Coturnix japonica: one gene and its partner. The protein of the gene in region 1 purifies or fractionates together with the protein of each later gene. This does not show direct contact. Links are inferred from orthologs where the notes say so. Each region holds a gene or a part of one and is shown in the gene's direction. Other genes may lie near its edges.

What was found. Proteins that work in one complex are often made in the same cells at the same time.
Region 2: the proteins of EXOC3 (region 1) and EXOC7 purify together in Homo sapiens (affinity purification with mass spectrometry; 5 studies listed by BioGRID and IntAct, counting the BioPlex papers as one, with this or other methods). This does not show direct contact. The link is inferred for Coturnix japonica from reciprocal best matches to the Homo sapiens genes EXOC3 and EXOC7.

The regions. Positions count from the first base shown.
Region 1 is NC_029517.1:80,087,712-80,091,662, forward strand, and holds the start of EXOC3 (exocyst complex component 3), read left to right. Parts: upstream 1-1,151; 5' UTR 1,152-1,270; intron 1,271-2,723; 5' UTR 2,724-2,764; coding exon 2,765-2,908; intron 2,909-3,951. UniProt on the Homo sapiens protein: Component of the exocyst complex involved in the docking of exocytic vesicles with fusion sites on the plasma membrane.
Region 2 is NC_029533.1:3,918,693-3,922,891, forward strand, and holds the start of EXOC7 (exocyst complex component 7), read left to right. Parts: upstream 1-1,399; 5' UTR 1,400-1,509; coding exon 1,510-1,569; intron 1,570-1,778; coding exon 1,779-1,844; intron 1,845-2,589; coding exon 2,590-2,774; intron 2,775-2,903; coding exon 2,904-3,009; intron 3,010-3,408; coding exon 3,409-3,631; intron 3,632-4,199. UniProt on the Homo sapiens protein: Component of the exocyst complex involved in the docking of exocytic vesicles with fusion sites on the plasma membrane.

The DNA.
Region 1 (3,951 bases):
TATAGGTCAAGCTAATACATAATCAATAGTCTCCTCCTCAGTTTGACTACGTATTCATTACATTCCCTATGGCCCCATTCCCTCATTCCCAGTGACCCCGTTCCCTGCGACCCTTGCCGTTGTTTTGGGGTGAAATTCTTCTGTTTTCTTCTTGGTGTTATCTGCTGTTATCATTCTCCCATGTCGGCATCATCTTGCCCGGGGGTATCTAATCCTTCTTCTTGTCAGAGGTCTCAGGACAATTTCTTCTTATCCTTATTGCCCTCTTCTCTGGTTTTCTTTTGACTAAGTGTCTGTAATTCCCTTTTTCCCTGCCCTTTTAAATGTAAACTATCTACAGTTACCCTTTGTCTTGGTTTCTGTGAAGCTCCCCTTTCCCTTTCTATAGCAAAGTGTTAGCTTGCCTCCATTTTGGGGCTTTGCTTTTTTTGGTTTCCCACCAAATTTCTGATTTAACTGCTCTCCTACATGTTTTATAGAGGCTTTATGTGACACAAAGTTGCAAACAAGCAGCAGCCCGGAGCCCACAGCAGACCCCAGCACAGCACAAGAGGGTTTTGCATTGCACAAAAGGAAAGCGACTCGTCCTGTTGGCTTTTGCATTTCATTTATTGAAGTGATGTGTAAAACCGAGTTCACCTCAAGACGCATTAACAACTGCTTCCCCAGCACCAGCAAACAACACCACGGACGTTCCCAACGTTTTGGATGTGGTGTTGAGGGATATGATTTAGTACTGGGAAGTATTGGTGATGGTTGGACTGGATGATCTTCTAGGTCTTTTCCAACCTTGATGAATCACAGAATGAATCACAGAATGACCCGGGTTGGAAGGGACCTCAAGGATCATGTAGTTCCAACCCCCCTGCCTGGCAGGGCCACCAAACATACACATTTACTAGATTAGGTTGCCCATGGCCCCGTCCAACCTGGCCTTGAACACCTCCAAGGACGCGGCATCCACAACCTCCCTGGGCAGCCTGTTCCAGGGCCTAACCACTCTCCTAGTGAACTTCCCCCTAACATTCAACCTAAAATAATTCTGTGACTGTGAACTGCAGCTGAGCACACCGCGCATGCGCAGGTGAGGCCCCGCAAGGCGCACGCCCTCCTCCCGAACAGCGAGGGAGCTGAGGGCTGCCCCTGCGCATGCGTACTTGGCCGTGACGCCAAGGGTCTGCGTTGTGCGCATGCGCGCTGCCCGCCTGTCAGCGCCGTGCCGAGGGGCGGCTGCTGCAGCCCGTGAGCGGTACCGCGGTGTCCGGCCATGGTGAGCGCTCCGCCGGTAGCGGCCAGCGGGAAGCGGGAGGGGAACGATCCGAGGAGCCGCTGGGATGGCGGGGCCCAAAGGGTGCCGAGAGGGTGCCGAGGGAGCGTCCGGGCCGATGTGGCGCAGGAATTCGGGGCTGAGGGCGCTTGGCGGCTGCGGGCTCGCCGGGGCGGGGCTCCGGCCTACGGGCACCTGCCGGGCTGTGGCGGCTGAGGGAGCCGGGTGCGCTGCGCTTCGTGCCCGCTGTGTGGTGAGGGGATGCGTCCTGCACAGCCCGCGGCCTGGCACTACCCGCCGTGTATCGCTGCTCGTGTCTGCTCGGCTGACTGTGGAAGTTTCCCTAAAGCGCCGGGCTTGGTTTGGCTGAGGGAGTTGGGTTTGTTCAGCCTGGAGAAGAGAAGGTTGCGGGGTGACCTCATTGCAGCCTTTCAATACCTGAAGGGAACCTACACCCAGGAGGGGAGTAAACTCTTTGAAAGGGCTGACAATAGCAGGACACGGGGAAATGGTTTTAAGTTAAAAGAGGGAAGATTTAGGTTGGATGTTAGGGGGAAGTTCTTCACTAGGGCAGAAGTCGGTATAGTCCTTGGAACAGGCGCCCAGGGAGGTGTGGATTGCGCCCGTCACTTTGGAGGTGTTCAAGGCCAAGGTTGGACGGGGGCCCTGGGCAACTGATCTAGTAAATGTGTTGTATGGTTTGGGTGGCCCTGCCAGGCAGGGGGGTTGGAACTACATGATCCTTGAGGTCCCTTCCAACCCGGGTCATTCTGTGATTCTGTGATTGGTTTTGTTGGCTCTTTGCTCGTGGTGACGGCTGACAGCCTCTGTAAAGTTGGCACGGGTTCCTGAAGTTTGCTCTTCCTGTGTGAGCGGTTGGTGGTTGTGAAATGGCCCAGTCATTGCAGCACGTCGCCGTGTAATCAGAAGGTTGCGTGAGGTGCGTCGGCTGCCCGAGTTGTGGCTGTGTGTGTTAAAGCTGCCCTAACTCTGCTCATACTGTTTACTCAGAGGGTGGTGAGGTACTGGCACAGCTGCCCATAGAAGCTGTGGTGCCCCATCCCTGGAGGTGCTCAAGGCCAGGTTGGATGGGGCCCTGGGCAGCTGAACTGCTGGTGGGCAGCCCTGCCCATGGCAGGGGGTGGGGATGGGTGGGCTTTGAGGGCCCTTCCATCAAAAATCTAAACAAAAGTGCTTTGTAGTTCAGTCTTCAAGTTTAGAGCTTCCATGGTTATGTTTCTCTCCACTGCTGATACCAGATTTGAGTTACTGCCGGGGGACTCTAGATGTTTCACTTCCAACAGGTTTAAGTTCTGGGAGAGGAATCCACAACATTCCTATATGCATCTCTCATTCCCCTTTTAATAGGCAAACGTACCCTAGGTTACATAGTTTGAATAGATAGAGAGCCATCGAGTGAAAGCGTATGTTCTAAAACAGTTACGTTTCTTTTCAGCGCTGTTGAATGATGAAGGCATTCTGAGGTCCTAATCAGCCATGGAGGAAACAGATAGGGAAGCGGTTGCAACTGCTGTTCAGAGGGTGGCTGGAATGCTTCAGCGTCCTGATCAGCTGGATAAAGTGGAGCAGTATCGCAGGAGGGAAGCTCGTAAGAAGGCTTCAGTGGAAGCTCGACTCAAGGTACACAGAATGAGCTTTCCTTTTTTCTTTTCCTTCTGTGTTTTCATTCAGACAGCTTTAAAACATGGACTTGAATTTTTGGTCTGACTGCGAAAGAGAAGTTTTGAAACTAACGTGAGCAAATGTTTTATATCCTGTTGAAATTTTGTTCAAGCATTTCAGATGTTCTCATGACCTGTAGCTTGTACAGTTTATTCACAGACAAGTTCCCTCCTGCAGTGTAGCCTATCAGCCTGCAAATGTTGTATCATAGAATCATAGAATTACTCAGGTTGGAAAAGATCTTGAAGATCATCAAGTCCAACCACAGCCTAATCAGTACCCTAACTCTAACAACCCTACGTAATCCCTGAGCACACATCAAAATGGTCCTAAACATTTCAGTGATGGTGACTCAAGCATCAACCACCTCCCTGGGGAGCCTATTCCAGTACCTAAATACCCCTTCTGTAAAGAAGTTCTTCTTAATATCCAACCTAAACTTGCCCTGGTGCAACTTGAGGCCATTTCCCCTCGTCCTGTCACTTGTCACTAATGAGAAGAGACCTGCCCCACTCTCACTGTAAGCACCTTTCAGGTACTGGAAGAGGGCGATCAAGTCTCCCCTCAGCCTCCTTTTGCCCAAACTAAACAGCCCCAGGTCCCTTAGCCTCTCCTCATAGGGCTGATTCTCCAAGCTCTTCAGAAGCCTCACTGCCCTTCTCTGGGCCTGCTCCAGTACCTCAATGTCTTTTTTGTACTGAGGTGCCCAAAACTGAACGCAGTACTCGAGGTGAGGCCTCACCAATGCCGAGTACACCAATGCCGATGACTTCCCAGTTATAAGCAGTTATATTCAGGGTACCAGCAGGCTTCTTAGATGAAAAAGAGCTGTAAAAGTAACTCTTCAGTATCCATCTGAGGATTAAAAACTAAGAACCTCACTGAAAGGAGCATGGAAGGAATCGAAAGCTTTCAAACAGGAAAGGACAGTGGATCCTGATGAACAAGAGAGGAGGCAGGTAGACCAGATGCTTTAAGAATCCAGTTTAAGTGCAGATTGT
Region 2 (4,199 bases), on another chromosome or scaffold:
GAGCACTGGGGAAGGTTTCCCAGCAGGACCTTAATTCCCTCTGCAAATAAAGCCGGAGGGAGGGAGAGCACAGCTTGTGTCTGTGCTGGGCTAGTGGATGGGGTTGTGGGGGGGACTTATGGGGCCAACCCTTAGGGACTGATCCCAACCACCTTACAATGAGCCAAGGGCCGAGCTCTGCTGCTTCATCTTCACCTTTGCTCCTTGGCAGTATTTGGGAGCCCAGCACCCCAAACCTCCCATTGCTGAGCAAGGGGGCTGCGATGCCATTTGAATGCTGCATCCAAACAGCACGGAGCCATCAGGTTCTGATCAGATCCCAACCTGCAGCTTTAGAGCAGCGCAGCAGCTTTGCTCGGTGCCAAATGGACTCAGCAGCCCCAACCAAAGCACGGTGCCAACTCGGCCGTTGGTGACACCCTCCCATGGAGCAAAAGGAGCAGCATTCCTCCATGCACTGCTGACTCACTGCCTTTCATCCTCCGCAGGCGGCAGCTTCGGCGCGGAAAGAGATTGTTGGCGGGGTGGGAAGGCGGCAGCAGCAGGCGGGATGGGATATAAACTGTGTTATTGCCTTTCAAGATGCAAAGGGTGGCTGAGGGGAGCAGCAGGGCCGTGTCACAGTGCTCATATCTCTGCCTGTGTGGTGCCACTTTGGGGCTGTGGGGTGGGAATACATTGCCCTTCATGCTGGTCGGCACACAGCTGTGTGATAAGGTGGATCATAAAACCCACCTGTTGTTGAATAGAGACCCATTGGGCTGCCTCAGCCTCACCAAGCACAGGGTGGGCTGATAAGGGGAAGATAGATGGGGACACAGGTCCAGCCCCTATAGCAGGAGGTTGGGGTGCTTGGTTTATGGCACACACAGCAGGTCTGACAGCAGCAGAGGGTGCTGGGTCACACTGGGGCATTCCCTGTCGTGCATCCCCTTCCTGCAATGGGTGCATTTCCTAGCAGCACACAATAGCAGCGCACACTGAGCTGCTGCATTTCCTCCTTCTATGGGCAGCCCCTGTATGAGCCCAGTGCAGTGACAGAGCACAGGGGGGTGGGATGTGCTCTGTGATGCCATACAGTAAGTAGAGCAGGACTGGGCCCAGCCATGGACCCAACCCTCCTGCAGGACCACTGGTCTCCTTCCAGGTGCCCGCCCTGGAGCCGCTGGGACCCCCTCGTGTCTTTCAGTGCATTGGGGTCACTCTGCACATCCATCCCGGCAGATAAAGGGTGCCATATTAGGACACACCACGCCCCTCCCAAGATGGCGGCGCAGCCTGTACGCCACACCCAAGGTGGCGACCAACAATGCGCATGCGCGTTACTCCCCCAATCCTCTTTCCGGTTCCTCTATGCCGGAAGCCATTCTCTAGATAGCGCTTTGGCTTTCTGCGCATGCGCAACGTGCCTTGCCGCACCCAAAATGGCGGCGCGGTGGTGGCCGGCCGGAAGTGAGTTGTGGTAGCGGGGTTTGTGTGTGGAGCGCGGCCCTGGCGCCCCGCAGCACCATGATCCCAACAGAGGAGATGTCGGCCCGCAGGAGGGAGATCGAGGACAAGCTGAAGCAGGTGGGGCTGGGCTGGGGTCAGTGCTTGGAGGTGGGGTTGGGCCTGCGGCTATCAGGGGCCTGTTATGTCTCCTCAGGGTTCATGGGTGTCTGTGTGCGGCCTACCCTGTGCTCGGTCTCCCAGCTGTGGGTGTGTGACCCTCGTTTGGTGTATAGTGAGTTCAATGCTCGATGGTCTGAAGTGAAAACTGCTTTTTATCGTGACTGCAGGAAGAAGAAACGCTGTCCTTTATCAAAGAGAGCCTTGAGAAGAGCGACCAGCTCACAAAGAACATGGTGAGGAGCTCCTGGAGGTGCAGCCTTAATGTTGGGTCAGGGGCTGTTCATCCTTAGGTAGACTCATGTTTAAGGGTGGTGTTGTACTTGTCTGAGCAATACAGAGTAATAAATCACTTGCTTTTACACCCCACAGGCTGGTTTCCAACCCATACTTTCCCTCCTTGGGAGGTGTGGGTGCAAAGCAAAGGCTTCATGTCCTTACAGTCTGTCCTTTCTCTTCTTGAAAGAGCTGCGTTTTGACCCAGGAGGGATGATGTGAAGTCACCCTCTGTGGGCTTATTTTCCACAGTTCAGAAGTGACAGACCCTTTTAAAAGCCAAATACTTGCAATGTAAAAGGACATTAATGCCACAATGTGCCTTTGTGTTGTCTCTGTTTTACATCTTAGTATTATGGAGCAAAGTGGCTGCCAGGTTGTTTTTATTGATCTCTTTTATCTAAGGCACCTCCAGGCATTTCCAGTGGCTTTGTTTCTTGCTATCAAGTCAAGTTTTGCTCTCCCTTAGTGCTGTTTTGCATGCTTTACAAATGTAAGGATGGTCTATCTTTGACAGCAGGTGACCTGTATTGTAATTATTCATTATTCATTAGGACATAGAAAGTTTAAACAGCCTGCCTTAAGGGGCCATGGAACAGAAGTGGGGCCTGAAGGTGCCTAATTGCCCTATTCTAGCTACTAACCCGTAGTGTGAATTCATGTGGAGGGATGTCCTCAACTCTTTTTTTCTCTCTTGACATGTAGGTTTCTATCCTTTCCTCCTTTGAAAGTCGTTTGATGAAGCTGGAGAACTCGATCATCCCTGTCCATAAACAGACAGAGAATCTACAGCGCTTGCAGGAGAACGTGGAAAAAACCTTGTCCTGCTTGGATCATGTCATTAGTTACTACCATGTGGCAAAGGACACAGAGAAGATCATAAAGGAAGGGTGAGTTTGGTAGCTAGGTCTTGCTGGGGTGCTTCATCCTGTCAGTTCTTGGGGCAGAGGTAGGCGCTGACTCCACACACTTTGTCTTTTTCTTCTTCTGATCCTTTTTATTTTTGCTTTTATTTTTAGCCCCACTGGGAGGCTGGAGGAGTACTTGAATTGCATGGACAAAATCCAGAAAGCAGTGGAATACTTCCAGGACAACAATCCAGACAGCCCGGAGCTGAACCGTGTGGTAGGTCGCAGGTCTGGAAGCTTGCATGGGTAAGATAGGAACAGCCATAACCCTGCCACTTACCCTCTGTGGGCAGTGAGAGGCTGGTGGGCTTGCTGCCTGATAAAGAATGTGTTTGGGCACAGCTGAAGAAATGATTGCTTTGGTTTCTGTCCTAGCCCGACAGCAATTTTGCTTGGTGATATTTTGTTCTTTTCATGCTTTATATACTGAGCAACTCCCAGGCAATTCCATATGTAACTAAGTCATTAAAAGTCTCTTAGCTACAGGCACTGGAGTTTGAAGCATGCAGTACTTGACAGTGATTAGAAACGCTGCAGAAAGTGCAATCTCATGCAGAAAGACTTGTGAGTGACTGATTACAACAACCCTGTTCTGTCCTCTGCTGGTTTGTGCCAGAAATCCCTCTTTGAGAGGGGAAAAGAGTCCTTGGAATCAGAGTTCCGCAGCTTGATGACGCGACACACCAAGCCTGTCCCACCCATCCTCATCCTGGACCTGATCAGTGGAGATGATGAAATGGACACACAGGAGGAGATGGCACTAGAACACCTCCCAGAGAGCGTCCTGCACGACGTCATCCGTATCTCTGGCTGGCTGGTGGAAAATGGCAGGAATCAAGGTGGGCAGAGCTGCGTGGTGTTCCCTTGTAGTTTTGTATTGAGTCAGTGCTCTCCACTGGTCATCACCTGAGGGCCTGAGGGCAGGGTGTTGGAGCTGCAATCCTCTAGTGCTCAGATATCACAAATGTGCAAGGAACTATGACTTTCTCCCTCTTGTGAATGATTAATGAGCAAACCGTTTTTAATTAAACGTGACCAAAGAGGGCTATAAAAGCAGCACAAAAATATTTTCTTCAGTCAATATATCTCCTTTCTGTTTTGCAGCATCAGAGTTTACCTGCATCCTTATATTCTATTACTGACTTTTCCTTTGGTTTGGAATGACTTAGTGGACCTGTTACAGGAAGGCTGTTCTTTCACATACATGCAGCTACTAGAGCTACCCCCACTGCAATGATTTAATTCTGAGTGGGGATTACTGTGCCAAGCAAGTGTGACAAACAGCCTTAAAAGCTGCTTAAGAATTTTTCCATGATGAAAGGAAGTAACTGAAGTATATATGGCTCATTCTCATTAGTCAGTTTATATTCTGCTTTCAGACAGTGAACCCCCCCCCCCCCATTTAAT